Linked DNA regions of Tamandua tetradactyla. The protein of the gene in region 4 interacts with the protein of the main gene of each other region in a pairwise test. Links are inferred from orthologs where the notes say so. Each region holds a gene or a part of one and is shown on either strand. Other genes may lie near its edges. The genes, in order: TRIM42, SAXO1, PLSCR3 and STK16.

Evidence for each region.
Region 1: the proteins of STK16 (region 4) and TRIM42 interact in binary tests that used the Homo sapiens proteins (3 or more experiments, as listed by UniProt). The two-hybrid records come from large-scale screens. The link is inferred for Tamandua tetradactyla from reciprocal best matches to the Homo sapiens genes STK16 and TRIM42.
Region 2: the proteins of STK16 (region 4) and SAXO1 interact in binary tests that used the Homo sapiens proteins (3 or more experiments, as listed by UniProt). The two-hybrid records come from large-scale screens. The link is inferred for Tamandua tetradactyla from reciprocal best matches to the Homo sapiens genes STK16 and SAXO1.
Region 3: the proteins of STK16 (region 4) and PLSCR3 interact in binary tests that used the Homo sapiens proteins (3 or more experiments, as listed by UniProt). The two-hybrid records come from large-scale screens. The link is inferred for Tamandua tetradactyla from reciprocal best matches to the Homo sapiens genes STK16 and PLSCR3.

What each region holds. Positions count from the first base shown.
Region 1 is NC_135341.1:84,768,985-84,776,796, forward strand, and holds the start of TRIM42 (tripartite motif-containing protein 42), read left to right. Parts: upstream 1-4,808; 5' UTR 4,809-5,019; coding exon 5,020-5,360; intron 5,361-7,812.
Region 2 is NC_135328.1:78,080,782-78,088,221, reverse strand, and holds the start of SAXO1 (stabilizer of axonemal microtubules 1), read right to left. Parts: upstream 3,015-7,440; 5' UTR 2,701-3,014; coding exon 2,654-2,700; intron 1-2,653. UniProt on the Homo sapiens protein: May play a role in the regulation of cilium length. Stabilizes microtubules at low temperature.
Region 3 is NC_135332.1:61,241,080-61,248,730, reverse strand, and holds the start of PLSCR3 (phospholipid scramblase 3), read left to right. Parts: upstream 1-4,650; 5' UTR 4,651-4,861; intron 4,862-5,070; exon of another isoform or gene 5,071-5,075; 5' UTR 5,076-5,231; coding exon 5,232-5,238; intron 5,239-5,516; coding exon 5,517-5,734; intron 5,735-5,819; coding exon 5,820-5,862; intron 5,863-5,963; coding exon 5,964-6,184; intron 6,185-6,408; coding exon 6,409-6,570; intron 6,571-7,651. UniProt on the Homo sapiens protein: Catalyzes calcium-induced ATP-independent rapid bidirectional and non-specific movement of the phospholipids (lipid scrambling or lipid flip-flop) between the inner and outer membrane of the mitochondria.
Region 4 is NC_135329.1:194,982,178-194,990,193, reverse strand, and holds the start of STK16 (serine/threonine-protein kinase 16), read right to left. Parts: upstream 3,014-8,016; 5' UTR 2,909-3,013; intron 2,556-2,908; 5' UTR 2,452-2,555; coding exon 2,366-2,451; intron 1,789-2,365; coding exon 1,569-1,788; intron 1,304-1,568; coding exon 1,170-1,303; intron 1,003-1,169; coding exon 882-1,002; intron 758-881; coding exon 662-757; intron 241-661; coding exon 119-240; intron 1-118. Other genes in the region: GLB1L (beta-galactosidase-1-like protein), read left to right, coding at 4,407-4,475, 4,660-4,826, 5,078-5,228, 5,402-5,462. UniProt on the Homo sapiens protein: Membrane-associated protein kinase that phosphorylates on serine and threonine residues. In vitro substrates include DRG1, ENO1 and EIF4EBP1. Also autophosphorylates. May be involved in secretory vesicle trafficking or intracellular signaling.

The DNA.
Region 1 (7,812 bases), on a different chromosome or scaffold from region 4:
AAAACTTCCCAGATTTGCTGAAAGCTATGAATGCTAAACACCAAGCGGAATGGGCTCAAAGATTATGATCAAATGTCAAGAATAATGCAGAATTTTAAAAACAGCAAGAGTCAAGCAATGCATCATATATAAGGAATTTTTACTAAGATGACGAACCAATTTCTCAATAGAAACCCTGGAGTCCAGAAGATAGTGAGACAACATATTTGAAGTGCTGAAAGAAAAAATCCACCAACCAAGAATTCTGTATACCCCAAAGGATTAAAAATACATGTTCATGCAAGCACTTGTACATGAATGCTCATTGCACCATTATTCATAATAGTCAAATAGTGAAAACAATCCAAATGTCAATGTGGTATATCCATATAATAGACCATCATTCAGCCATTAAAAAGAAAGTGGTGGGGAACTTCTGGGGAAGATAGCACAGTAGGGAGCTCCAGGATGCAGTCCTTCCACCAAACAGCTACTAAACAGGCAGGAACCATCTGAAACAAATGTTATGGGGCCCTGGAGACCAGCAGAAGGAAGAGGCTGGTAAACCACAGTGGCAAAGAACAGCAAGTTGCTCTCTTCAAGCAGAGGCTCTTGGCCCCCATTCCCCACTCTTACAGCTGGGTGCTATGAGGCCCAGTCCTAGGCCACCTCACTGGGGACAGAGAGGGACATAAAATGCTCTTCCCCAAGAACAGGGGTGGGTGCAGTAGATCACTGATCATGCCTTTTGATTAGTGAATTTGGATCACTGGGTCCTGGCTCTGAGCTTGTATTTCAACCTGCCTGGAAAAAGGCAGCAGCAGCAGTTTTTTAACCTTGCTCTTGACAGGGGCAGACTTGGTGGAGATTTGAACACACAGTGCTTCATGGGGGCTCTGGGGGTGATGAGCTGAGGGGCTGCACTTGCTAGAAAGGCCAGAAAAGCACAGAATTGGGGACCATCCTTTCTTGAGGAAACCCTTCAACAACTAGGAATCGAAGGAAACTTCCTCAACATGATAAAGGGCATGTATGAAAACCCAGAGCTAGCATTGTACTCGGTTGTGAAAGCTTTCCCTCCAAGATATGGGATAAGACAAGGATGCCTACTGTCACCACCGCTCTAGAAGTTCTAGCCAGAATAGTAAAGCAAGAAAAAGAAATAAAAGACATCTAAATTGGAAAAGAAGAAGTGACACTGTCACTATCTGCAGATGACATGATCCTATACAGACAGTCCCAAAGTGTCTACAACAAAGATACTAGAGCTAATAAAGCTGTTTAACAAAGTGATGGGATAAAAGCTCAACATGCAAAAATCAGTAGTGCTTCCATACACTAGTAATGAGCGATCTGGTTCAATGAAATCCCAATCAAAATCCCAACAGCCTACTTTACAGAAATAGAAAAACCAATTATCAAATTTATTTGGAAGGATAAGGGCCCCCAATAGCAAAAAAATATCTTGGAAAAAAAAGAACAAAGTTGTAAGACAAACACTTATTGACTTTAAAGCTTTTACAAAGCTACAATGGTCAAAGCATCATGGTTCTGCCATAGGGACATTATATTAACCAATGAAATCAAATGAGAGCTTAGGAATAGACTCTCATATCTAAGACCAATTGATTTTTGATGAGATTGCTAAGTTTAGAATAGTCTGTTCAACAAATGGTGTTAGAAGAACTGGATATCCATAGGCAGAAGAATGAAAGAGGACCCTATCTCACACACTATACAAAAATTATCTCAAAATGGATCAAAGACCTACTTATATGCACCAGGACTATGAAAGTTCTAGAAGAAAATGTAGGTAAGCATCTTCAAGATCTTATAGTAGGCAATGGTTTCTTAGACTTTACATCCAAAACACAAGCAGTGAAAGAAAAAAACTAGATAAATGGGAGCTCCTCAAAACTAAAAATGTTTGTGCATCAATAGAATTTGTCATGAAATTGAAAAGACCACCTACTCAATGGGAAAAAATATTTGGAAGCCACATACCCAATAATGATTTAATATCCAAAATATATAAAGAAACCCTATAACTCAACAATTAAAAGACAAACAACCCAATTTACAAATGGGCAAAAAACTTGAATAGACATTTCTCCAAAGAGAATACATAAATGGCTAAAACGCAAATGAAGAGATGCTCGACATCACTAGTGATTAGGGAAATGTAAATCAAAACCGCAATGAGGTATCATTTCACACTGACTACAATGGCCACTATTTAAAGAAAAAACAGAAAACTAGAAGTGTTGGAGAGGCTGTGGGCAAATAAGAGCATTCATTCATGTAAAGTGGTTTAGCCTCTGTGGAAGATAGTTTGGCAGTTCCACAGGAAGCTAAGTGTGCAATTAACGAGGTGATTTAGCAATCCCAGTACTGTATGTGTATCTATATCTAGAAGAATTGAAAACCATGGACTGTAGCAAATATTTGTACACTGATACTCATAGAGGCATTATTCACAATTGCCAAAAGATGGAAGAAACCCAAGTTTCCATCAGCTGATAAACAGATAAACAAATGTGGTGTCTACATACGATGGAATATTATTCAACCGTAAAAAGGAATGAAGTCTTAATGCACGTGACAACATGGGTGAACCTGGAGGACAGTATGCTAGCCAGACACAAAAAGACAAATATGGCATGATCTCACTTTTGTGAACTAATTATAATAAGCAAACTCAAAGAGTTCCTATCTAAATATAAATTACCTGGAGATAGACTGGGGTTGGAGAATGGGGATTTGATGCTTAGACTTGTACGGAACTTCTATTTAGGCTAATAGTTAAGGTGTGAATTTCTATTTAGGCTAATGGTTAAGGTGTGGAAATGGATGGCGGCAATGGGAGCACATTATTGGGTGTGTCATCAACAGCACTGAGCTATAGAGGTGAATGTGTTTAAAAGGGGAAACTTTAGGATGTATATATTACTAGAATAAAATTTAAAAAATAAGACATGGGATTGTACAACACAGCAAATCCTATTATAGATGACTGACTATGGCTAATAGTATAAGAATGCTCTTTCATAAATTATAAAAAATATACAACAGTAATACAAGGTGTCAGTGACAGGGTAGGAATGGGGAAAATACACCTAATGTAAATTACGGATGACATAATAGTACGATTTTAATAATTTTTCATCAATTGTGACAAAGGTAACTGCTATTAAAATATATATAGTACAATTATTTTTAAAGTGCTATCATCAGTTATATTGAGGGTTTGGTGGTGTATGAGAATCTCGTATTTTATGCATAGTTGTTTGTAAAGCCACAAATTCTCTAATAAAAATCTTTCAAAAAGGAATGAAATACCTGATACATGCTACAGTGTGGATGACCTTGAAAATATTATGTGAAGTGAAAGAAGTCAGACACAAAAGGCCACAAATTCAGTGATTCCATTTCTATGCACTACTCAGTACAGGTAAAAATCACAGTGACACAAAGTAGAGTAGCGGGTGGTGGGCAGGGGCCGGGGGTGGGTGGGTGAGATGAGGAGTGGCTGCTAATGGGTACAGTCACTTTGGGGATATGATAACACTATTTTGGAATTAGAGAGCGGTGATGGTTGCACAACCACACAAATATATTAAAAGCACTGAACTGTACACTTTTACATGGAAAATTTTATGGGATCTGAATTATGTCTCAATTAATAAGAACAGGAGGCTTTGCACAGACCAGTGATGAAAAGGCACCATAAATCCATAACCAACTCAGATCTCAGCACCTGGGGACAGAAAGAAATAGAGACAAAATTGCAGTTGGGCAGACATGCGGGAAAAGGTGTCTTTCAAACATTGTTGGTATCAGTGTAAACTGACACATACATTTCAGCAAGCAATTTAGTAGTATCTATAAAAAATAAATCAAATACTCTGTGATCTAGGATTTTCACTTGAAGGGTCGTAAAAACAATTTGTGGCTGGCAGCGAGTCAGCACTCAGTGAAGAGTCTTTTCTATTAAAAAGGTGACGGTCACAGAAAGAGATCATAAATTATGCAAAAAAAACACTGCAGCCACACTCAATTCTCACATCTGTTTCACACAGTGTTTATGTCATAATACTGTATGACAATGAACTTTCTGACCTTTAATCTTTGTAAGGCACATAAGGTGCAAAGAAAAATTCTCCTCTAAAACATAAGGTCTATTTACTAAGGATCCTTCTGTAGAATTCTGCACTTTGTAAAAGGGCTATATTGGGGACAGTGCAGGGGGGAAGCAAACAGCTTGAGTCTCATCAAGCATTAGAAAAGTCAAGAAATATTTGGGGTAACTTAAGCATGAAGACTTCTGGAAATCAGCAGTGACTATACAGCAAATGACAAACTCAACAACTACAGAAAGAAGTGCTAATTGTACCTAATTCTTCTTTTCCTTTAGTTCTTTCTCCATTATATTTTTAAATGTGACATTGCTAATATTTGTAAACACTGTGCTTTGTTCATCAAATAGATAGCTCTATCTATGCAAAAATAAATAAAGAAAGAAAGAAGAAGAAGAGAGAAAAAACATGTCAGTCTATATTCACAATCATATCCAGACCTTTCAGCCTATGAAGACGTACCTGGAGTCAGCTTGTCCAAACTGCAGTCACAGAAGCAAGGAGAATTAGATTCTGAAATCTGATCTATAACCCAGAGGTGACAAATGACAGCTAAACCTCTAGGATGTCATTGCATCACTTCCTGAAGCTGGTCCTGTGGAAGCATGGATTGTCCATCAGCTCACCTTGCTGCCAGGTGTCCCCACTGCTGCCCCACCTACCCAGGGTGGTGAGAGGTGGTAGGGAGACAGGAATTGTGACATAAGCAAAGGCCCTCCAGCTGATACATGCATATGCCAGCCCCTGAGCTTCCTAGTAAGGACACCACCTGTGAAGGCCTTGCCACAGCCGACCTGCTCAGCCGCCAAGCTGACCAACTCCTCGGGCGGGGGGAGCCACGGCAGGATTCTGGTAGAGGAGGGACCACAAGCCCCAGGGGGCAGGGTGCAATCATGTAGGCGCCATGGAGACCGCTATGTGTGTCTGCTCACCCTGCTGTACATGGCAGAGGTGTTGTCCCCAGCTGTGCTCCTGTCTGTGCTGCAAGTTCCTCTTCACCTCGGAGCGCAACTGCACCTGTTTCCCCTGCCCCTACAAGGATGAGCGCAACTGTCAGTGCTGCCACTGCACCTGCTCCGAGAACCCCAACTGCCACTGGTGTTGCTGCTCCTGGGCCAATGACCCCAACTGCAAGTACTGCTGCATGGCCAGCAGCAACCTCATGTGCCACTACTATGAGAGTCGCTGCTGCCGCAACGCCACCATCACCTTCCGCAGGGGCCGCCTCAAGAGCATCCGCACCTCGTAAGTGCCAGCACCCAATGGGCTAAGGAGAGCCGGGGGACAAGGCCGGTGCACCCCTAAGCCTGTCTCTCCATCTGAAAAACAGATGCCCACTCTTTTGTAACATTAAGTGTATCCCAAACAGCCATAAACCACGTGCAGGCCAGAGTTTCAAATCCAAGCTCTAATGGTGAGGAGGAGCTGCACTCTCCTGGCCTCCACTTGCTCATCTGTGCACGGGCACAGCAGCGGGTACTGGGTATTAGGGCACCATCACTACCAGGCACTGCCTGCACGACCCCACCTAACCCTCCCACCACCCACACTGAACTGATGATGAAATCAAGCCTTTGAGAGGTTCATTTGCCCAGGATCACACAGCTATTGAGATGTCAGGATCTGAACCCAGAGTCTTTGATCTTAACTTTAAAAGGCTGTACTGCAAAGCAAAGGCACCCATGCGTGCCAGGGTACAGAGGCCTGAGGATGACTGAATAGGCTTTGTAATCTGCTGGGCAGTATTAAAATATAAGTCGTTCTTCCTCCACTGAGCATGACATCTGCACCATTAACTGGGCAAAATAATCACATCCACAGGCGAGTTTAGACCCCTATATAAGTACTGCATCCCCCTTTGAACTCCTATCTGCCTTCTGCTCTTTCCTATCCAAAAGTCACAGCACCTACAGTCTCAGTTGGGGCGTTCACCCTCCATGCCAGGCATTACACAGCCCCTCCCTGGTCTGGCCAGGCCAGTCTTTTATGTCACATGTGAGGAAGGTATGGAGTAATGTGGGCAGACTTCTCAGAGGAGAACAGATCAAAGCTCAGCCCCATAAGATGACAGAATTTGGTGAGACAGAGAAGCAGGAGGTAAGTTTGGATCTTTCTGAGGCTAGAAAAGCAATTCTATGAGCAAAGTTGCGGTGGCTCTGGGGGAGGAGTACAATCCGTCTTGCATTCAAGCACTTAGTAGATGCTTAGTGGCTGGGACGCTCTCCACCAATGGGCTTCTCATTGGTGCACGCGTGACTAGAGAGTCCAGGAATTCCGGGTGCATGTCAGAACACTCTAGGGTGTGGAGAGTAGAGTCCACACCCCCTCTCCGCACAACCGCCTTGCTCTCTGCGTGTCAGCAACACAGATTTGCTAAGCCCATTTCAGCAGCAAGGGGGGCGATGAGCTCGGCAGGAGCTTTGAGAGGATGGTAAGACCAGTGGCTCCCACACTGTGCTGTGCGTTAGAACCATCTGGGGACAGGGACGTACAGGAAACGCAAGAAGGTCAAGGCAGGGGGAACAGCCATGGAATCAAGACCAAAATCCAAACCTTGCTAATGGGATCAGAGGTGAAGGGATAGGCACAGCCACAAACTGTTTCTGTCCACTCCTTCATTCCCACAGCAAACCGTGTCTTTTCATGAACTGCTTTTGCTCTGATTGGAGCCTTTAGAAGCTACACTTGTATTTTACAAGTAAGCTTTATTTCACCTAGAATGCTTACATTCCAGGAAACAAGCCCCAAAAACATTCAGCATAACATAATTAGACAAAGCATCTTAAACACACACACACAAGACGCTAGAAGCACACACTTTGCACGGACTTGACCGCTAGTTTCCTCTGCTGTGGACATGAGCTGGCTGGCCGCGGACAGGAGTAATTACAACAGCCACATGCACCATTATAATTATGTACCAGCATCTAGGCACATAGCATAGATTTTTCTCTTTGTAGAAACCTCACGAAGGAAGTACTATTGTGGGCCTTGATTCACAGATGAAGCAACAGGCTGAGAGAAGTGGTGCCTTCCAGCTCACTTCTAACCGTCACTGCCTGGTCCAGGGGGCAGAGCTCATGGGCTCTAGAACTGGCATAGCTACTGAGCTCCTGCCCTGGGAGAGGCCCTGTCTCCTGCCCCAACTCCTGGGTTCCAACCGACGTACACAAATAATAATGTCCATAACCTCCAGGCAGAAACAAGCAAGAATACACTGTAATTGGAACAAAAGTGGATGTATTGACCCACTGCAACAAGGGAGGCACCCCAGGAAACTGTGAGGTGTCTCAGTCAGAGGGTGTCAATAAAGTATAGGACTGGGGCTCGAAGTAGGTGAGGAGGTGGGGGGGGGGACCTCTTAGTGGGTGTCGCACTAAGTCTTACCTAGAAGGCAGGGGGACCAGGTGAGCCCCCCAGTTGCCATTGGTAAAGAAGCAGGAACTGGTGTTAACTGGGAGAGACAGATGTCTGGTCAATTTTGTGGTTTGAGTAACGTTCCTATTTTTGTCTGGTTCAGACATGATTGTGTTTTGATCCATGACAGTCCCCAGGTGGGCTTGTCTGACATTAGCGTCCAGTGATATTGCTTCTGTCCGACAGGAACTTCCCCGCCCCCAACCCCCAGGCCAGCAGATAGGCCCAGGGTGGTCCCAGTTCCAGGGCTGCTTTACTCTTGTTCAAAGAGCAGTTCAGC
Region 2 (7,440 bases), on a different chromosome or scaffold from region 4:
TAAATTCCCTTTTATTAAAAGCCAAACCATCTCTGGTGTGTTGCATTCCAGCAGCTAGCAAACTAGAACAACATATCAAGGAGTGACAGCCCAGCAGGAGAAATCCTCCCAGGTCCTATAGCCTACCCCACTCCAGACGCCCTTAGGGCAAGGACCACCAAACACCATGAACCCCATAGCAGTGAGCCCAATATTGGACACCACGGGAAGCCCAAGAAAATGCTGGCTGAATTAAAATTGTTCCCCCAGGGTAAAGGAGATGAAGCAGGCTGCAGGATTATCAGGGCGAGCCAGGATGAGGGGTAGAGGCAGCAGGTGTTTGTCACTGGTTCGTTAGATCTGACTGACCATGGGGAGAAAAATAGAACTGAATAGCACATGGAAGAACTAGGGGACTTTTTTGGGGGGGTTTGCTGCTTTTAAATAAGTGTATATTTTTCTTAGATAGAGGGCCTCTTCCCATGTTTGGACACTTAAGTGAAAGAGCTAATGAAGAAAGGGAAATTGGGACTGCAGGAGAGAGTGGGGAATGAGGGGGGTCTGCTCCCAGAAAAGGAGGAGGCAGAAGGGGTGCTGTAAAGGCCCCTGGATGGAGGGGACCTTTAGATAAAAAGGGAAACCTAAGCCAGCTAAGGCAGACCACAAAATAAAAAGAAACAATTAAAGCTGTCTTCACTTGAGCATCCCCAAAAGCAGATCCTGAAACAAGAATGTGAGTGCAAATAGCTTACTTGAGGCATTATCCCAAAACCCAAGAGCAGGAGAAAGGGAAGGAGGCAACGCCAATGGAACAATGCGTTCTCCCCTTCCATTTTGGGCAAAGGTGGAGTAACAGGGAAAACTTTAAAAACTGTACAAAATATATGATATAAGGCTTTTCAAGACATGCAAACATCACGCAAAGAATAATGATCCCCGAGAGGTGGGAAACAAAGGCGATAGCCCCTTTGTTTTTGTGAATAGCACCCCCACCACACCCTTAGTACAGTCTCCAAGCTATGGAGCAGGGAGGGGGATCCCAGGGTGAATCCAGTGGTTTCCCTTAGTCCAGACAGAGTTGAAATCCAGGGAGGCCCTTCTAGGCAGCCACAGGTTACAGGAGCAAGTCTACGGAAGAGAGTCCTACTTAACAAAGCTTAAAAACAAGGCACAGGAGGTGCGAGGGTAGTTCAATGGTAGAATTCTTGCCTGACATGCGGGAGACTTGGGTTCGATTCCTGGTCCATGCACTCCCCAAAACAAACAAACAAACAAAAAACACACAAGTAAGCAAAAATTCAACAAATGGTGCTGCAACAACAGGATACTCACATGGAAAAATAATGAAACGTGACCATCCCCGCCCGCCATACAGCATACAAAAAAAGGCATACACAAGTTTGTGATCCAGCTCAGGGGTTCCCAATCCTGGCAAATGGTCAGAATCGCCCAAAGGGCACTGCCTGGGGCCCTCCATCAGAGATTGTGATATAGCAGCCTGAGCAACTGACAGTAGCTTTAACCCACCCCCACCCCAGGTGATTCTAATGAGCAGCCAGGGTTGAGAACCATTCAGCCATGCTAGAGATGGTACAAGGTTTCAAACCTTGTAACACAGATTTTAGTGAGTCCTTTAATCCCCGCCTCCTCCGTCTACAATGATGTCATTTTTTGTTGTATTCATGAAGCATATTAAATTGGAAAGCACTTTTTTCAGATTTCAGGAGGCTCACATGCATAATTCATTTATTCCTTACAATCCTACCTGGTAGGCACAGGTGATACAGAAGAAGAAACTATGGCATATGGCATGGAGAAGTCCAGTTACCTGCCCTAGATCCACAAGGAGTGGCAACACAGGAGAGCTGGCCCAGTGCCCACCCTCTTATCTGTTGCTTCTCTGCTGCCCCATCTTGGTGGCTCCCCAAGTTGTCCTGTGAAGCAGGTGAGAGGCTCAGCTCCCAGTGTGCCTGACACTGAGTAGGCAGCCACAAAACTCTGATGAGGAGAATGTCTCCCTGGGACCACCTGTCCGTAACTGTGCTTCACCCCAGGCATGGTCCTAAAGGCAAAGGGCCAGGAGAAACCTGATAGCTTGTGAAAGCAATCTCCCTTTCATTATTCTCCTTCAATTTTACACCGCATGGAAACAAGTTTTACAAAAACTTTATACTTCTTTGACAAAGTAACCACAATTTATCTGAGAAACTCAGTTACATTAAAGAAACCCTCTTCCTCATCTCCATTCCATTCCGAAAAGCACAACCAAAAAAAAAAAAAAACCCACAAGACTGGACAAGGGATTTTCCATCTGATACTTTCTCCAGCTACAGGGAAGGGAGCACAAACTCTCTGCCGAGCTGCGTCCATGTTGCAACCTCCGCACAGCTGTGAAGTGGCTGAACAGGGGAAAGGGGGTGCAGCCCCATTCGCCAGGATTGATTCAACCCCAGAGCTTTAAACTCTAGCTGACGGTAAGGATGGCGATGAATCTGCCATAACACTGCAGCCTAATAATAATGGTTGACAGGTGGAGAATCCACCGCGATGCTGCCTGATTAATCAACACAAGATGAGTCCTCAGCCTAGCTTTCCAGAAAGTGGCTTCGCTTACCTCCAGAGGCCCACACCCCACGCCCAGCCCCCCGCCTTGCGCTGGGCCGGGCAACCTTACCCGCAAGAGCACAAGTCGCAGATGCACTTCCTCTTCGAAGGGGCCATCCTAAGGACCTGTGTCCACGTAGAACATCCCCTGCCGCCCCTGCCGCCCCTGCCGCCCGGTGTGCCCCAGCCGCCTCACTGGGGGCACACCAAGTCTCAAGGTCCTGGGCAAATGTTCTCCGTATTTATTCAAAAGAAAATTTAAGAGGCCCTTTTGCAAAGCCCTGTGATCTGTTGCCTTCCTTATGCTGGCCTTGCACGAGGGGCAGCAGGGAGGGCGGATGGCGCGCCAGCCCTGGCCACCTCCCCATGCACGCGGCCGCCCCAGCCTCTGCGCCCCGGACCCATGCACGTGGAGCGGTGTCCCGCCAGGGGAAATGAGGACTCTCTGTGACGTCGTGGGCCAGGAAGGGCACATATCTAGATGGCAATGACATCACAAGGGCCACTTGTGACGTGAGGGAGTCCCCAGTACCCCACTTGGAAAGCCCAGGACAAGATTTACCCCACTGGACCTTGGAAAAACATAAAGGAAGGTGGACTTTGGAAAGCTCGTGGGTGCGCTTATCAGCAAATGCCACGATCGCCTGTACAGAAAAGCTGAAAAGGCCACTGCCATCACATTATGTGGCATTTTCTGTCTCTAGGATCCGTGGTTCTCTTTTTTTATAGAAATGCATCCCTTGACCTCCAGAAGACTAACCTTAAATGCCCTTTCCAGACTAAATATAGTTAAGATGTCGATTCTACCTAAATTGATTTACAGGTACAATGCAATACAAATTAAAATCCCAAAAACTTCCTTTTCAGAAATAGAAAAACCAATAACCAAATTTATCCGGAAGGGCAGGGTGCCCCAAATAGCTAAAAGTATCCTGAGAAAAAAAAAATGAAGTCGGAGGTCTCACGCTACCTGATTTTAAGGCATATTATGAAGCTACAGTGGTCAAAACAGCATGGTACTGGCATAAAGATAGATATGCTGACCAATGGGATCGGATAGAGTGTTCAGATATAGACCCTCTCATCTATGGACATTTGATCTTTGATAAGGCAGTCAAGCCAACTCACCTGGGACAGAACAGTCTCTTCAATAAATGGTCCCTAGAGAACTGGATATCCATATGCAAAAGAATGAAAGAGGACCCATATCTCACACCCTATACAAAAGTTAACTCAAATTGGATCAAAGACCTAAACATTAGATCTAAGACCATAAAAGTGTTAGAAGAAAAGATAGGGAAATATCTTATAAATCTTATACTTGGAGGCGGTTTTCTAGACCTTACACCCAAAGCAAGAGCATTGAAGACAGAAAGAAAGAAATGGGAACTCCTCAAAATTAAACACATTTGTGCATCAAAGAACTTCATCAAGAAAGTAAAAAGACAGCCTACACAATGGGAGACAATATTTGGAAACAACATAGCAGATAAAGTTCTAGTATCCAGAATTTATAAAGAGATTGTTCGACTCAACAACAAAAAGACAGCCAATCCAATTACAAAATGGGAAGAAGACTTGAACAGATACTTCTCAGAAGAGGAAATACAAATGGCCAAAAGGCACATGAAGAGATGCTCAACTTCCCTGGCCATTAGAGAAATGCAAATCAAAACCACAATGAGATATCATCTCACACCCACCAGAACGGCCATTATCAACAAAACAGAAAATGACAAGAGCTGGAGAGGATGTGGAGAAAGAGGCACACTTATCCACTGTTGGTGGGAATGTCAAATGGTGCAACCACTGTGGAAGGCAGTTTGGCGGTTCCTCAAAAAGCTGAATATAGAATTGCCATATGACCTGGCAGTACCGTTGCTAGGTATCTACTCAAAGGACATAAGGGCAAAGACACAAACAGACATTGGCACACAAATGTTTATAGCAGCATTATTTACAACTGCAAAGAGATGGAAACAGCCAAAACGTCCATCAACAGACGAGTGGCTAAACAAACGGCGGTATATACATACGGTGGAATATTATGCAGCTGTAAGACAGAATAAAGTTATGAAGTATGTAACAACATGAATGGACCTTAAGGACATTATGCTGAGTGAGATTAGCCAGAAACAAAAGGACAAATACTGTGTGGTCTCACTGATATGAACTGACATTAGTGAATAAACTTGGAATGTTTCGCTGGTAACAGAGACCACCAGGAGATAGAAATAGCGTAAGATATTGGGTAATTGGAGCTAAAGAGATACAGATTGTGCAACAGGACTGAATATAAAAACTCAGAAATGGACAGCACAATACTACCTAACTGTAATACAATTATGTTAAAACACTGAATGAAGCTGAATGTGAGAATGATTGAGGGAGGAGGGCTGGGGACATAAATGAAATCAGAAAGAAAGACAGATGTTAAAGATTGAGATGGTATAATCTAGGAATGCCTAGAGTGTATCATGATAGTAACTAAATGTGCAAATTTAAAAAATGTTTTTGCATGAGGAAGCACAAAGGAATGTCATTACTGCAGGGTGCTGAAAATAGATGGTAATTAATATTTTAAAATTTCAACTTATGTGTGAGACTAAAGCAAAAAATGTTTATTTGGTGCAAAATTTATATTTTGACTAGTGCATTTCCTAATATAACTTATGAGGATAGCTTGGTTGAACATCATAAGTACATGGAACCTTGGGTAGGACATGAGATTTTGTTGATTTTTCCACCGTGATGACCCGATGAATCCCAGAGTGGTTCAATCAGTGAGTGGAAAAGTATTTGCAAAGTCCCCTTCGGGGAATGGTGAGAACAGGGGAAAATTCAACCTCCCCAAGTTGAATTCTTGATATTCTCACAAGCAGTGTGGACAACCAAAGCTCTAGGCTGAGCCCCCAGTCTTGGGGCTTGTTCATATGATACATAATCCCTCAAAGGATAGGTCAAGCCTACTTAAAATTAGGCCTAAGAGTCGCCCCCAAGAGAGCCTCTTTTGTTGCTCAGATGTGGCCTCTCTCTCCAGCCAACACATCAAGCCAACTCACCACCCTCCCCCTGTCTACATGGGACATGACTCCCAGGGGTGTGGACCTTCCTGGCAACTTGGGACAGAAATCCTAGAATGAGCTGAGACTCAGCATCACAGGATTGAGAAAAACCCTAGAATGAGCTGTGACTCAGCATCAAGGGATTGAGAAAACCTTCTGGACCAAAAGGGGGAAGAGTGAAATGAGACAAAGTGTCAATGGCTGAGAGATTCCAGAGTCGAGAGGTCATTCTGGAGGTTATTCTTACTCATTAAGTACATATCACCTTGTTATTCAGGATGTAATGGAGAGGCTGGAGGGAACTGCCTGAAGATGTAGAGCTGTGTTCCAGTAGCCATGTTTCTTGGAGATGATTGAATAATGATATAGCTTTCGCAATGTGACTGTGTAATTGTGAAAACCTTGTGTCTGATGCTCCTTTTATCTACCTTGTTAACAGACGAGTAGAACATATGGAATAAAAATAAATAATAGGGGGAACAATTGTTAAAATAAATTTATTTTGAAATGCTAGTGATCAATGAAAGGAAGGGGTAAGGGGTATGGTATGTATAATTTTTTTTTCTGTTTTCGTTTGATTTCTTTTTCTGTTTTTTTTCTTTTTCTGAATTGATGCAAATGTTCTAAGAAATGATCATGATGATCAATATGCAACTATGTGATGATATTGTGAATTACTGATTATATATGTAGAATGGATGACCATATGTTAAGAATGTTTGTGTTTCTTTCTAGTCTTTTTTTTAAATTTAAAAATTAATAAAAAAAAAAATGCCCTTTCCAGATCTTCCTTGGGGAAATCCACGCCTGTGGCTTCAAGTGCCTTTTGAGAATTGCTCCCACACACAGACCTTGCTCCCTTGAGACCAAAGCAGTTTAAAGCGCCAGGCCTCTACTGGTCATACGGTGCGCAATCTTCCAGGTGGTAATGTGGACCCTTGAAGCACTGGTTTTCAGATTTTGTGCATCAGAATCACCTGGAAGGCTTGATAAGCACCAGTTTGCCAGGCTCTTACCCCCTGGAGTTTCTGATTCAGAAAGGCATGTGTGGGGCCAAAAATATTCATTTCTAACAAGTTCCTAAGCGCTGCTGATTCTCCTGGGTCCAGGACCAGGCTTTGAGAACCTCCCCTTGATGCAGTGTTTCTCTAACTTACTTGCTCCTGAGAGCCACTTCAAATTGCTGGCCTGAACCCTCCTACATTGACTCTCTAGTTTTAGCAAAAAAAACCCAGGTGATTCTGATCATGAAGCAAATTCAGGAGACAGGACTGCTCTGGCAGGTTGTTTGGAATTGAACATAACTTCCTGGTTATAGGAAATGGCAACTTAAGCTATTAATAAGCCTTTGCCTATTTTTCTTTCCCAAACTTCCTAACTCTTCCCATTAGTTTAAGTGAATGAGTGAGTCAATCAGAGTCATCTTAGGCCAAAGGAAACTTGGGGATTTTGTTTTCTTCCATGTCAGTTAGGCTCTGGAACAGACAGTGGCAAACTATTGTCTGTGGTTCAAGTCCAACCTGCCACCTGTTTACCTGTTTTTGTATGAAAAAAAAAGAATTTTATGTGATGTGAAAATTATATAAAATTCAAATTTTAGTGTCTATAAACAAAAGTATTAAATTTTATCAACAAAAACTGGGTGGAGAAAGGGAGGGGCAAGGGATATGGTATGTATGAATTTTTTTCTGTTGTCTTTTTATTTCTTTTTCTGAATTGATGCAAATGTTCTAAGAAATGATCATGATGATGAATATGCAACTATGTGATGATATTGTGAATTACTGATTAA
Region 3 (7,651 bases), on a different chromosome or scaffold from region 4:
CTTTCCTGGCTCCTATAATTCCCACAGAAAATTATGGGATAATTTCAATGTCAGATAAATTCTGAAACCCAGAGGGACCAGCATGTCCAAGATTGTCAATTAATTACATCCCCCTATCCTTTAGTGCTGACACCCTTTCTCAAATGAAAAGGTCACAATGGGCATTGCTCAAAGATCCCCTATAGATTAGGGGAAGGATGAAAGGAGAAGGAGGAGATGTAACAAAGAGAATAGGATTTGGCAAATGAGTATGACTGCTGAATATATTAATATTCCTCAAGTGTTCAAGAGCAGGTAGAAGGAAAAATCTGAGCTGGAATGGTAGCCCATGGCAAACTCTGGCATCTGTTCTGTCATTACTTATTGAAGTGTGCTTTGAAAATTATTGCTGTTTTTCTCCTTTGCTTTGTATATATGGTATATTTTACAATAAAAAGCATTTTTAAAAAAAGGTGTACAGACCACTTCTGCAAATGCTGGGATTTTTAGGTAGTCTCATTCAGCCCCATATTTTCCATTACAATGTACATGTTTTAAATCTGGAATTTTTCCCTCTCGTGCTTGTACCTACTGAGCTCCAGACTCCAGACCCTCTGCAGTGTAGTACAGCATTCTGTGGAGGCCTGAAGGAGTCAGGTTATGGGTGGAGGGTAGGAGGGCACCTTCTGGGCCCAAACAAGGGCTTTTGAGGCAGCCCTGAAGCGAGAGAGCTCAGTGAATCAGGGACCTGAAGGAGTTCCCAGGGGCTGACTTGAAGATCATGAGAGAACAGAAATGAGAGATGAGAATTGCAGGACCAAACGGTGGAGGGCCTTGTGCTGAGAAGTTGGGCTCTCTTCTGAAGGCCATGGGAAGCCACAGAAGCATTTATATCCAGGGAGATGGCATGATTTGAAGAACATTAGTGGAAGATCACAGTATTTCTTCATTTTACAAATGAGTAAACTGAGGCCTCAGAGGGGTTCAGCATGGCCCACAGAGAGTGACACAGTCAAGACTGGAACCCCAGGCTCCTCCCTTCCACTCCAATGCTCTTGCAGCATTTCCATCCTTCTTCTCAGGCAGTTTCTGGGGTGCAGAGGGAACCTCCCAGACCCCAGGCACCTGGAAAGGCCACCCTCTGTGTAACGGGAACCCTCTGACCCTAGCTTTGGTCCTGTCTGTGGACCAGGCTCTCAAGAGGTGGAGTGAATTCCAATTCACGTCCTGGAGCTGACCAAGAAAAAATTTTGGACCACTAGATGGCAGTGGCACACAAGCTATTTACTGGGAGCTGCTGCTTTGACAGGTTTGCTGGTGCCGGGAGGACCCCCCCCACCCCCACCCCACTCCCCAGCAGGAAGACTTCCAGAGATCAGCAGCACTGGGAAGCCACCAGAGGAGAAGCAAAGCAAGGGAAAACTCCCAAACTCCTTGGGGAGAGGAGAAAGGAAGACAAGAAGGGGGCTTAAGTGTCCAGGTGTTGCAGAGCCAGCACAGCTTTCGGAAGGGAGCAGAGGGCCCAGAGTATCCTGGCCAGAGAGTGTGGGTCCCCAAGAAATATGGGGCCTAATGCTTGCAGATTCCTGTCTAATCAACTGGGAATAAACACTAGGCAAAGCTTGGCAAAGAAGTTTCCTGGGATACGCAAAGCCAGTTAACTCCAAATGGCTAAAAGTTGCTTACTTAAGCTATTTTTAAAACCAATGGATGGGTAAGAATTTGGGTGTCGGTGGGTTTTTCTAACAGAACCCAGGTTGCTGTGAAGAGGTAAACAACACACAGGGCCACTCCACAGAGGCTATCCTTGCCTCATTTATAGACCAGGAACCAAGGGAAATGAGGCCTGTTTGGTAACTGGTCCCTACTATTACAGCACCACAAGGTCAGGGAAAGTGAGGCTCAGAGAGAAGTAACTTGTTCTATATTACACAGCCAGGACCTGAGTAAGCTGTAATTCTAACTCTCCTCCATTCAACCCCCAAAAGCTAAGTATTTTTCCTTCTTCAACAGTGTCAAGAAACTCAGATTCCCACAATGAAGACAGTTTAGAATGATAATTAAATAAAATGTGTTCAGTGTTACAAGTAGATGCTGTTTTGCCTTTGTTTGGGCTTGTTTTGCCTTTGGGATTGGGAAGCCTTCAGTTTTTTTCTGGGTTTTAAGCACCAGCAAAGAAGGAGAAAACCATACTGGTAACACCACCAATCAAGAGTAGTAACAGGAGTGCCTGGAGCTCAGGATTGGGTGGGCGGGCAGGAAACAGCCAAGCAGAGAAAGCGTGGGGCACATACTGTGCCAGATGGACTGGTGGGCCAGTTTAGTAGCCTCCAGGGTCTTTTACACCAGGCACTTATAGGCTCTGCTTAGACTGTTAAGAAAATCATCCAAGGAGGTCTGGCTGGGAAGCTGCTGCTTTAAAAATGAGGGCCTGGATTTGAGCAGGGGCCACATAGGTAAGGAGAAGGGAAAGGATACAAAGGACAGCTCAGAGAGGGAAAAGATGGTAGATCTGCAGAATGAACAGGAGGATCAGACAACGGTGACACCAACTGCTTGGTGTGTCACCCACTGGAAGAGGCAGAAGGAAGAGAGTTGTGTTGGACATGCCCAAACTCACCCCTGATCTATCCCCACCCCTCGCAGCCTTCCCCATCTCAGTGGCAGCTCCATCCTTCAAGCTGCTCAGGCGAAAAGTCCAAGTCTAACTTTGACTTCTCTTTTCCTCTCTCACATGCCACTTGCAAGCCATCATCAAACACATATTCAGAATCAGACCATTTTTTACCACCTGTGTGGCTGCCACCCTGCTCTATGTCACCATCACATCTTTCCTAGAATTTGACATTTATTTCTGCCTTTGCCTATTTTACAGGCTACTCTTGATCAAAGAATCCTGAGAGAGAGAACCTGCTTCTACAGTAGTAGTCCTCAACCTTGACTGCCCATTAAAATTTGCTGGTAAATTCTCAAAAATAGTGTAATTTAATTGGTATGGAGTGGGGCTTAGGCTAAGTACGTACAAGGTATTTTTTTAAGACAGGGTTGAGAAACATTGTTCCAATAATAATTCAGATCATGTCACTCTGCCCAAACCTGCCAACACTTTTCATCTCACTTGAAGCATAATTCATTAGTCATCAAGGCCACTGATGATCTGGCCTCCTGTTACCTCTCTGACCTCCCTCTTGTTCCCTCCATTCCCGCCACAGTGGCTTCCTTTATTCACTAAACAGTTAAGACTCACTTCCCCCTCGCCCTTGATAGGGCCTCTGCCTAAAACACTCTTCTCACAGAAGTCTGCCCGACTCAATCCCTCCCCTCCTGAAAGTTTTGGCTCATCTGTCATCTCAGTGATGCCTTCCTAGTCCATCCTATTTAAACCCCTGCCCACCACTTCCTGTCCTCCTTGTTCTGCTGTTTTTCTTCGTAGCATTTCTCACTGTCTGACTCCCAGTGTATTATATTTACTTATCATCTGTCTCTTCTCCACTAGAAAGTAAGCCCTGGGAGGTCAGGAATTGTTGTCCATTTTGTTTACTGCTATATATTTCTATCATCTCAAATGCTGTCTGGCATGTAAGAGGTGCTCAATAAACTTGGTTGAGTAATTGAATTTCTGTATATTTATGTGTTGTGACAGAGCGTGGCACATGGTTTGGGCCACAGGGAGTTAGAGGCATTAAGGAATACCAGGGGAAAGGGCAGGCATTTGGCCTGGAGCCAAGGATGACTGAAGTGTGGAAGGGGTGAAAAGAAGCCCTGGAAGAAAAGGGCCAGGACCAGACCAGAGGAACATGTTCATGTTGGTGGCAGGCACCTAGACTCATCCTGTACTCCTCCTCACCTCCACTTCTCACCCACCAACTAAGAATATCTCTAAAAGCTACCACTCTTAGTCTCCATTGCCCCAGCGATTGCCAACCCTCCCCAGACCAATGCCAAGAACCCAGCCAGGGAACACGGCTCTTCACGCTAGAGTTTGAAAGGTCTTCCTAAAACACAAATTTGACCTTCTTCCTCAGTCTTTTTTTTTTTTATTTTTCTTCCTCAGTCTTAAAAGCCTGCTGCCTTGGGGATCAAGTCCCCAGCCTCTGCAGCTCTCCCTCTCTAAACTCATCTCCTGTCACTCAGTCTGTGGGCCACCAAGGCACACGACTTCCTCACCCCTGCGAGGGAGCCGACTCAGGACCCCCGTGAAGTGACTCCTTTCAGGGGAAGCCTTCTCACAGCACTTCCTCGGCCAGCCCTGAGCCTCACCTCACGCACACACGATTGGCACTGTTTTGGCGGCCTGCCACCCACGTGGCTAGGGGTGCCTGAAGGAAGTAACTTGCAAGTGTCTGCGTGGGTCGCCGCAGCATCCCGGCCCCCTCAGGGACCCACTCGAGGTATGGCCCCAGGGAGGCGGAAAGGGAGCCAGGGGAGTCTGAAGTCAAAGAAGGGTGTGAAGACTGTTACGCTGCGTCAGCGAGACCCGATCCGCCCTTCGGAGGAGGAGCCGGGAGTGCGGAGCGGCCCGGCAGCGAGGCGCAGCACGGGCGGCCCGCGCTTCCCAACAGGGGGCGCCGAGCACTCCGAGCCCGCCGACGCGGCGGGCGTCGCCGGGCTGGTCTCTGAGGGATCCCCTCCCCAGGCGCCCTTCCTTTCTAGGCATCTGCAGCCGGAGCGGAAGGGGCGGAGACGCCAGCCGAGCGAAGACGTTAGGGACCCGGGTGCGCGGCCCCGCGAGAGAGCCGGCTTCCTCTCTGCGCAGGCGCGCCGCAGGGCGAGAGGGGCGGGACCTGGACGGGTCGGGGGCGGAGTCAAATCCTGGGCCCGCCTCCAAGAACTCCCGGGAGCCGCGGAGCGCGGGGCACCGGGGCAATTCTGGGGGCTTCAGGTGAGCGGTGGGCACGGAGGGGGCAGGGAGACCTCGCTCGAGGTCGGGCCGTCGGTGTGAACGCGGGTGCATCCGTCCTGTCGCCCGTCGCCGGCCGCCTCTGCGGAGAATAGGAGGACAAAGAGAGGGGATGGTTCTGGGCCCCCTGAGCGAATCCAGAGTCCCTGGTACCTCTCCCTGCCCGCTGACACTTTCGGTTTCTCCCCGAGTATAGAGACGCGCCGCCCACGAGCCCCTGGGCTGGCGCCGGGCGCAGCTGCTTCTCCGCCTTTGCCTCTCCGTCTTTGTGTCTGTCTCTGTGTCAATCTGGCTGTCTCCGAGCTCCAGAACTAACCGGACCCCGCATCCCGCGGACCCCCGCCCCTTTCCCATGGCAGGTAAGTGGGCTCAAGGCCGGGGGTCTCCGTTATCCCCCCACGGACTTGGGAGCCTGGTGTCGCACACATCCTCCGGGAATGTGCTCCAACTGGCTGCACGGGGCCCCTCCCTTCCTCCCGGGCAGCCGCCGCCCTGCACCCACGCCCCATCTTTCTCGGCCTCTTCCCACCCCATTTTCCTCAAAGCCCCGTGGCTCGTGGATGGAGGGGTGAGAGGGTGAGGCTGCAGGTCTCTCTAAAATCGACCCCTGAACCCACAGCATACTCGCCCCCAATAGGTTACGCCCCTTCGCCCCCACCTCCCTACCCTGTGACCGCCGGGTTTCCGGAGCCGGCGCTGCATCCTGGGCCCAGGCAGGCGCCAGTGCCCTCCCAGGGGCCTTCCCCCGCGCCCGGCTTCGGTGTTTTCCTCTCGCCCGGCCCAGTGGCCGCGGGGTCTGCTGCCCCCTTCTTGCCACTGCCGGGGGTGCCTTCTGGCCTCGAATTCATGGTGCAGGTGAGTGGAGGGGGCAGGGATAACCGGGAGGGCCCGGGAGCCCAGGTCGGCCAGCTGACCTCGGTGCCGCCTCTACTCTTTCTAGATTGACCAGATTTTGATTCACCAGAAGGTTGAGCGAGTGGAAGGTGAGTGGAGGGAGGAGTAGGTTGGACCCGTGACTGGGGCTAGAGATGGTGGGCTTTGGGGTCTAGGCCGACGCCTGAGTCTCAGTGTCACTACCCGGCAGCGTTCCTAGGCTGGGAGGCCCGCAACCGGTATGAACTGCGTTCGGGGGCGGGACAGCCCTTGGGCCGGGCAGCTGAGGAGAGTAACGTCTGCGCCCGCCTGTGCTGCGGTGCCCGCCGGCCGCTGCGCATCCGCCTGGCGGACCCCTGGAACCGCGAGGTGCTGCACCTGCTCCGACCGCTCCACTGTGGCTGCAGCTGCTGCCCCTGCGGCCTCCAAGAGGTGGGTGGGGATGGGGTACTGTGTGATGGGGTAGAACCAGGGATAAGGCATGGCTCTGGTGGGCATGGGCAATTGAGGATGGGCAGGACCAGGGGTGAGGCATGGCGAGTGAGGATGGGAGGGTATAGTGAAAGGGCCACGTAGACAGGAACTAGAGTGGGTGCCAATGAGTACTTGGGCCAGTTGCCTCACTCAGCAGTGACCCTGTCTGCCTCCCACTACAGATGGAAGTACAGGCTCCACCTGGCATCACCATTGGCCATGTGCTACAGACCTGGCATCCTTTCCTCCCCAAGTTCTCCATCCAGGATGCTGATCGCCAGACAATCCTACGGGTGGTGGGGCCCTACTGGACCTGTGGCTGTGGCACAAATACCAACTTTGAGGTATCAGGAATAAGGGTAGATTCCTGGGAACCTCATGAGGCAGGATGGCCAACACTAAAGTGGAAACTCTGAGCTCACTAATCCAAATTCATTGTGCCCCTTTCTGCATTTCCGATTTTTCTCCATTCTGATTAGGATGGTCCTGTGGGCATGGCAAGGAGGGTTTTGTCTTAAGGACCAGTGCTGATTATTACCTACAGACCTATGTTGAAAAATCTGAGGCCAGCCTGGATTTGGGATTTACTGAGTCTGCCGTGGGCTGGTCCCAGGTGGCTGCTGTGTGTGACTTTGTAAGCTCAGGCCCTGGAATGAGTGCTAATTTGACTTGTAAACGTCTTGTGGCTTGTCCTGCCAACCTAGAAAGCCAATTAGTCCCTCTAACCTAGAACACCATCCATTTCTATCACCAACATGGAGCCTGAAGACCCAAATCGGCTAGGTGAGGCCTGAGGAAAACCTTAGTTTCTAAAGGGAAAAGGCACTACAGACCCGTGAGTTCTTTAAGGGATAATTACCTCTGCAGATAAAGGAGAACAACAGGTATAAACTAGCAGCCTTTCCAAAGCTTCTGATTAGCTGTGTTACCTAAAGTTATTTTTAAAAATTCAGTCACCTTGGTAGCTGGAGGAGGTTCTGTGATGGGAACTGGTTGTGAAATAACTGGGTGATCCCTCGGATAGGAATGTATAGACTGTGGGGTTCTCACAGGATCAGCCTCCCTTTGGCATAATTATAAATGGTCCATATTTGGGGATGCACCCTTGGAAACTGCAGGGATGGCTAGGATAGGGAGATAGAAAGGACCTAGAAGGACTATATTTCTAATCCCTGGAGAATGAGCCTAGGATAAGGACCAGGGAGTTTTGAATTACCACCACCTTGGCAGGACCAGTTGCTGCTGGACTCAGACTGGTGGACATCATGGTCCTCAGATACCACATATGGCTGTTTTCCCCTCTCCACCATTAGATGGACTCGGATCCCTTTTAGAAGAGGCACGCAATGCTAACAGGGCCCTCCCCTACTTTGCAGATGAGAGAAAAGGCAGATATAATCCTCCAGTGTCTTGTTGGCTGGTGGA
Region 4 (8,016 bases):
TAAGAATATCAAGAATTCTCCACTTGGGGAAGTTGAATTTTCCCTCTTTCTCACCATTCCCCCAAGAGATTCTGCAAATACTTTTTTACTCACTGTTGGTGCCCCTTTTATAGCTCACCTGGGGCTTTGCGGGATGCTGAGTTGGTTCTGTACCGCCAGGGCCACACTGTCACCTTTCTGGAACACCATGTCATAAGGACCTTCCCCAAACATCATGGCATACAGCACACAGCCTAGGGACTGAGCACCACTTGGTTATTCCCTAGAATGGACCAATGAAGGTGATATCCCTTCTTTACTAGTGTAGAGAAAGGAGCTGCATAAGTCAAAAAAGAATACGCCAACCTCAGCCACATGGCACCACCATGGCCCAGAGAAACTGTCAGTTAGCTGGAAGCCTCTGCATTCCTTGTCTAGTTACTGCCTTCAGTTCTGGTACTTAGCTGTATCCACCCTGTTCAGGGGCAGGGATTATATCACTTCCTGAACAACTGAGTATGGTATCACTGACAGTTCCCAGGAAGGAAGTCAAGGGGGGATGGGGACATACCAGGGTTCCTGAGGCCCCATGTGGTAGAAACCAAAGACGTATTCCTCTACCACCAGTGGGTACAGAGCAGCATTCTACCCCTGCCCAGATTTCTACCCACATGCTCCTTACCCAGACGTCAGTCCGTTCATCGATGACACAGTGGCTTTGCACAGAGAAGAGCTCTGGAGCCCGATAGGAGATGGTGCATCGCTGGGCTGCCCAGTCCTGGAACAGTGGCCCCAGAGCCCAAAAGTGAGGCACAGGTCACGGTCCAGTGCTAAATTGGGGTATATATCAAAAAGGGCTGGGGATAGGGAACACATGGGCAAAGGAACCAGGAGACTCTCACCTGTAGGGCCAGAGCCTGGCGGGAGCTGTCCACCTGAATGCATGCCTGATTCATGGAACCCAAGTCCATTAAAATTGGCTGCCCCTCGTCTCCAAGCAAGATGTTGGTGGGCTTCAGGTCTCTATAAGGAAGTGGAAATGAATTGTGACCACCCCTGGACAGGGAGGCTGGACCCCTAGAGAGCAAAAGAATCATGGGGCTGTTTCTCAGGAAAACAGAGACCTCCCATTTCTCCTGGTAAGGCTCTTCCCCTCTGCCCCAGCAGGTACACAGGGTCTTCCCACTAACCTGTGGGCATAACCCTTGGCATGAATGGCTTCGAGGCCTCTGCAGATACCCAGCAGCAACAGCAGGATTTGATCCTCAGTCAAGAACTTGCCTTTGTCCTTCAGCCTTTCTATCTCATTCCACAGCGTACCTCTCTGTAACACAGTTTTCCCCGCAGTTGGAAATGACTTCCAAGTTCTCTGCTCCCAGGACATGACCCTTTCCCTATGCCAAAGCCTATCAACCCCTTCTCCACATACACCTCAAACCCTCACAGTACCACCTGGGTTCCTCTAAAACCCAAATCTGAAGTGGCTAAAGTCTGAACATGGCCCCAGCTTCCTAACATGTTTGATTGCTCACACAGCCCTTGGCAGGTGGCTCTGTTGAAACCCCTCCATAACTAGGAGTCCTTCTGACCTTGAAGAAGGGTAGCAGCAGCCAGGCCTCTTGTTTAGAGCCCCGTTCTTTCAGACAGTAAGCCACGAGGTGAAGGATGTTGGGGTGATGGAAGAGGCGATGCATGTCTGCTTCTCGCTGGGCCTCCTCTCGGTCCTGCTGCTCATGACACAGGATTCGCTTCAGGGCGTAGAAGCGTCCATCATGTAACCCCTCCACTAGGTCCACATAGCTGAACCCACTGTGGGCCAAAGGGTCAGTGAAGGACCACGGTCATCTCCCACACTGCCTGAACCCAGAGGGGATTCCCTGGGAAGAGGAAGGGGGTGTATTTCTCTTTTAGTAGCAACCCTCCCAAGATGTGGCTCTAAGAGACATCTCAAGGCTATTACACTTTGAGCCTCCCAAGAGCAGAGATATGACCACCTTTAGGTCCTGTGGTCATAACGTGCTCTGTACATGAAGATGCTCAATAACAAGGAAATGAAAAATAGTCAACATTTACCAACTGCTTATGCACCAGGCCCTGCACTAGACATTTTACAAGCATCATCTTATTTAATCCTCACAACTCTATCAGTGAGGCATGATAACTGTCCCCCACTAGGCAAACAAAGAAACCATGGCTTACCAAGGCCACACAAGGTGGATCTAGGAGGCCTGACTCCAGAATCCACTTTCTTGATGACCATATGGCTAGGCCCTGTCAGGTGAGTTAGAGGATGGGGATAAAGCTTTTGTACCCTTATCACGAGCGAACTGGTGTTCCTCATCCACCATCACTCTGGGAGTCAAGAAACTGATTTTCAAGCACTTACCCCTCCCCCAGTTTCTGGATGAAGAGGTAGCGCTTATTGTCAATGATGACAGTGCCCCGAGAGCAGACACACAGTGCGTGGCCCATAGTGTCTCAATCATCCTCCTCAAGGACGGTCTGAGGCTGCCGAAGGGTTCATCAAGGGTAAATGGGTTTTTCCAGGCGATATGCAGGGGGTCCAGCGAATCATGCTGGAAGGAATAGAACGGCAGGGTCGCGGGCCCGGCACAGTACAAGTGGCCCCGAATTAACAACGCGGAGAGTCCAAGTCCAGGGACCTATATTCCCATTTGAGGAAATGGGACCTGGCAACGCTAGCTCCAAGAAGACGGCGGTGAGGAGCTTTAAAACATCAGACCACGCAGCAGTTACCAGGCCGCTTCCTCCAAATCGTATCTACTTTTAGACAGCCCCCACTCCCACGCCCTTCGGGCGCGAAGTCAGAGTACCGAGTAGTTACGGGGGAGGTGCGAGCCTGACGCCCACCCCTTACAGGACCCAGCCCCAACTCTGCATAGGCTGCTAGTCGCGACTCCCCACTGACCTGGCCCGGGCAGGAGCTCCAGAGTCCGGAAGCAGTGGTTGCATCATCAGTCCGCGCGGGCGTAACGGCCGGCGGTATCCTAGCAACGGCTGGGTACCCGGAAGATGTGGAGGCGCCGAGCTGAGAGGCCTGTGGCGGGCTAGACCTGGGGGAGGACGGGTCCCAAGACCCGGGAGAGGGTCCCCACCTGGCCTTCAGTAGGGGTCAAGACGCAGGCACCTGCGTCAAAGGGGAGCAAAGCCGGGCCCAGCCCTAGGTTCCCCAGGACCTCCTTCTCCCAATGCCCGAGGTAGGAGACCTGAAATGTCCGGCGTGCTGGGACCAGAGAGCTGCAGAAGCGCAGGGAGGGGTGGGTGCTGGAGTGCTGGATTCCTGGAACTCTGATAACAATTCAGCCTCTGGGGACTGTATCTCACTACCCTAGTCTTAGTGATTAAGAGAGCTCAGACTTTGGAACCACACTGTCAGGATCCAAATCCGGATTTAATAGCCTACTAGCTGTGTCACCTCAGGCAAGTTACTTAACCCCTCTCAAGCCTCTCTTTACTAGCTCTAAAATAGGTATAGTAGGACCCAAGGTTAACTGCATGATCCGTGAGGCCAAACTGCCCAGTTCAAATCTCAGCTCTACTAAACTAGTTATTTGACCTTGGACAGTTTACTTAATATTTCTGTCCCTCAGTTTCCTCCTCTGTAATACTGGAATGATAATTATTTACCTTAGAGAATTATCTGAGGATAAAGTGAGATGTCAGTTCTTTAGCACAATATCTGACACAAAGCTCTCAATAAGTGTCAATAAACAATAATAATAATACTAAGTATCCTGGGCCTCACATCCTAGGCTTGGAAATTCCCAAATTCCAAAATCTTAGCACCACGCAGTTGTCCCTGACATCTTTAGCAGGCAGGGATAAGAAGATGAAATGGCCTGGATGGGCCCTTTTGCTGAAACAGCCCCCTCCAAGAAAAAGATCCCTTGTGTAATCTGCTTTCCCCCATTCATATGCCCAGTCATCAGGAAGATTTTCCTACGATTTCCCTTGGTTCTGGCATTCACTCATCTAGATTAACCTGCTATGTGCTGGACTCTGTGCTTAAAGCTGAAGAACAAGGCACTCCCTGCCCTCAGGGTGCTCAGTATAGTAGAGAGGTGCTTCTCAATCTAGAATGTACAGAGGATCGCCTGGGGATCTTGTTAAAATACAAATCCTGATTCCATAGGTCTGAGGTTGGACCTGATAGTCTGCCTTTCTAACAAGCTCCCTGGTGACGCTGATGAAGCTGGTTTGTGGGCTACACTTTTAAGTAGCAAGATATAGAGAACTTTACGATCCACTATAGTGGCGGGTGGCTGCAAGGTTGGAAACAAAGTCTAGGCTAACCGCCTGGCAATTTGGGGTGGTCTCCGCCCCCTTGCTCGCTGAAGTTCCCTCCCAGGAATCCGCCACGTGACGGTCGGATCGCCGTCTCAGACTAGAGGAGCCCTGTAAGCGCCATGGCTCCCAAGAAGCCGCCCTGTCTTCCCTCCCTGCTACTGCCGCTCCTGATGCTGCTGCGGGCCCAGGTAAGTCTGGAGTGTTGAACTCTCCCGCCTGGTGCGGTGAGGCAGGATCAGACCGGGCAGATGAAGAGAAAGTAAAAGTAATAACAAGACAATGGGCGGGGCTAATTCCATCTTCCCCGCTCTGGGCAGACGCTGACCCCCACTCCAGATGTCTGCTAAGCACCATCTCACCTTCGCTTTGCAGGTAGAGACTCGGTCGTTCGTAGTGGATCTGTATAATGACAGGTTCCTCCTTGACGGGGTCCCGTTCCGTTACGTGTCTGGAAGCATGCACTATTTTCGGGTACCGCGGGTGCTTTGGGCAGACCGACTATTAAAGATGCGAATGAGCGGCCTCAATGCTGTACAGTTGTAAGAAGTGCTTGTGACAGCCGTGGAGGGGCGGGATTTACTCTCCATACTGCTTCCTTAGGAATGGGGTTGGGCAAGAAGACAAACTCAATATAGAGTGGTTGGGACTCCTGGGCTCCCAGGTAAAGATTGGGAAAGGACAGACAAGGACCACCTTCCAGCTGCATCCTGGAGTTTCCTGCAGGGCCTGGGCTCTTAGGTTTCCCTGGCATCTCCCCACCTTGGGCCCTGTTAAACTCTTCCTTCCTCAGTTACGTGCCCTGGAACTATCATGAGCCAGAGCCTGGGGTCTATAACTTTAATGGCAGCCGGGACCTCTTTGCGTTTTTGCATGAGACTGCTCTAGCGAACCTGTTCGTCATCCTGAGACCAGGACCTTACATCTGTGCAGAGTGGGAGATGGTGAGTTAGTTGGAGAAGGGATAAAATCAAACCTCCATGTGCAGTTCCTAGACTACTGCCATTTGTCTACGCTCTAGGGCCACTTCCAGCACTACATTCAATTTCTTACCTCCTCCACTTCACCGCAGAACAAAACCTACACTCTTCTTTGTTGTTTTTTTTGTCTATCTCAGGGAGGTCTCCCATCCTGGTTGCTTCGAAACCCTAAAATTCATCTGAGAACCTCAGATCCAGGTGAGTTGAAGCAAAAGATTTAACACAGAGAAAAGCAAACAACAAAACGTGAGTCACTTGGGTTCCAGAAACAGGAAACACTATGCCCAAATTGGAGATCATTCATTCAACTATTTATTGTTTCCTACTTGTCCAGCAGGATGCTAGAAACTGGCACAACAGACAGACCCAGTTCCTATGAAATGGACCTTATAAAATAGTGGAGACAGGTTTTTAGAAATTAAACCTATAAATAAATTAATCACAAGCTGTAAAATTACCACATGAGAAAACAGACAGTTGAGATAGCCTATAACAGAGAAGTAGGGTAGTCAGGAAAGGCTTATATGAGAAAGAAACATTTCACTTGACCTCAGGGAAGGGAAGTCACTGGTCATGTGAAGAGTGAGATGAAAACATCCACGTAGAGGGTACAGTGTATGTTCTAAGGCCCAAGATGAGAAAGAACATGATTGAATAACTGAAAAGGCAGAATGGCTGGAGCATAGTGGGTGAAGGAGAGCATAGTATAACATGACATTGGAGAAAGGTAGAGACAATTGATGCAGGACCTTGTAGATCACAATAAAGGGTTTGAGTTTTAAGTACAGTAGAAAGCTATTGGTATGGCATGATCTGATTTATTAGCTCTGATGGGGAGAATGAATTGAGGAAGTAAGATAGAGGTGAAGAACCTAATTGGGAGACTCTGATTGAAGTTGAGGAGAGAGACGGTGGTAGCCAGTATTAAGGTGATGATGGTGGAGATGAAAAGAAAGGGCAGAATTGGGAGATAGTTTGGTAAGAAAAATCATCAGGACTTGTTGATGGATTTTGATTGGAAGGTGGAGGGTCGGAAAGAAAGGAATCAAGTTTCTGGCCAGTCAGGATGGTGGTACCATTAACTGACATAGGGAAGACAGAGAAGACTAGTGGTGGCAGAGGAACAACTTTGAAGAGAAAAACAGTGGTTCTGTTCTGGTCATGTTAAATTTTCATTATCTGTGGCATAGTCAAGTGAGGATATTAAATAAGCAATAGGATGTGTGGGTTTGGAACTTAGGGAAGAAGTTTGAGCTAGAGAGATAAATTTGGGAGTCATCAGTCTGCAGATAGCATTTAAATCCCATGAGATCTCACCTGGGGAGTAAGTGTAGCGAGAGAAAAGATGAGAATTCAGGATTAAGCTCTGAGAATGCTCAGTATTTCAAGGAGTTTGGATTTCATTCTGCATGAAAATAGGAAGTCATAAGAGCAAGGGAATGACTGATTTGATTTTACCTTTTTAGAAGATCACTCTGGCAAAATACCTTAAATCTGCTGGGAACTCTCCAGGGGCTGCTTTACTTCCTTGAGTGTTGGCGTGCTTTATGCTCACCAAAGCATTTTCCAAACTCAGTTGTCCATAAAATACATTGTAAATGATCAAGGATTGATGGAGTACGAACAAGAGATCTGTTTTTCTCAACAAAACCATGACCTCTACATCACTAAATCCATGGTGATCTTTTAGGCCTTATGCTTCCTGACCAAGCAGCAGCATCAGCACAGGTGATCAGTCTGTCCTTTGAAGTACTCTTCTCTTAGCTTTCATGATATCACACTTATCTTGTCTCTCCCACTCCCCTCCATCTTTCTGACCACTCCATAGACTCTTTTTCTCCATTTCGCATACAGCTGAATGCTGGATTATTCCAGGGCCCAGTCCTTGGACCCTTCCCTTTTCTAGAAATAAATCATTCCCAGATGCTCTCATTTATTTTCATCACTTTAAATTTAATTACTGTGTATCTCCAGTCTTTTCCCCTGACTTTTATCCAACTCCCTACTTGACTTCTCCACTTGGAAATCTGAAAGGCTTAATGATACAACTAAGCTCTTGATATCGCTTCCCCAAATCAGCTCTTCCTACAATCAACTCATATCAGATAGTAACAACTCCATTTACTGATTGGTCAGGCTTATGCCTTTCTCTCACACCTCACATTTATTCCATCAGAAAAGCCTGTCAGCTGTATCCTCAGAATACTTTCAGAATTCAACTACATTTAATCACTCCCATTGCCATCAGCCTGGTCCAAACCACCTCTCTCACCTGGATTATTTTAATAGCTTCTTAACTGGTTTCCCTTGTTTTGCCCCACCCCCACCCTCCATGTAGCATGTTCTCAGCACAGCAGCCAGTATAACACTGTTAATGTTTAAATACGTATCTTAGTTCATACCACTTCTCCATTCGACTTGCCAATAGGTTTCTATCTCTTCAGAATACGAGCCATGGATTCCTTAAAATGATCTACAAGGCCCTATATAATTGACCCCAGTTACTTCCTAACATCCTGTCTTCTCCTTCTTGTTCACAGGGCACCAGCCACAAAGGCCTGTCATACTTGAGGCCTTTGCACGTGGTGCTCCCTTTATCTTCCTGTAGAAACCAACTTCTCAGTGAGGCCATCCCTGACCACCCTCTATGAAATTTAAGCCCCCTCCCCTACAACATTTTATATCCTCTGTCCTTTTTTTCTATCCTTGGTCCTAACATCCTGTATATTTTTTAATCTGCCTCCCCTACTAG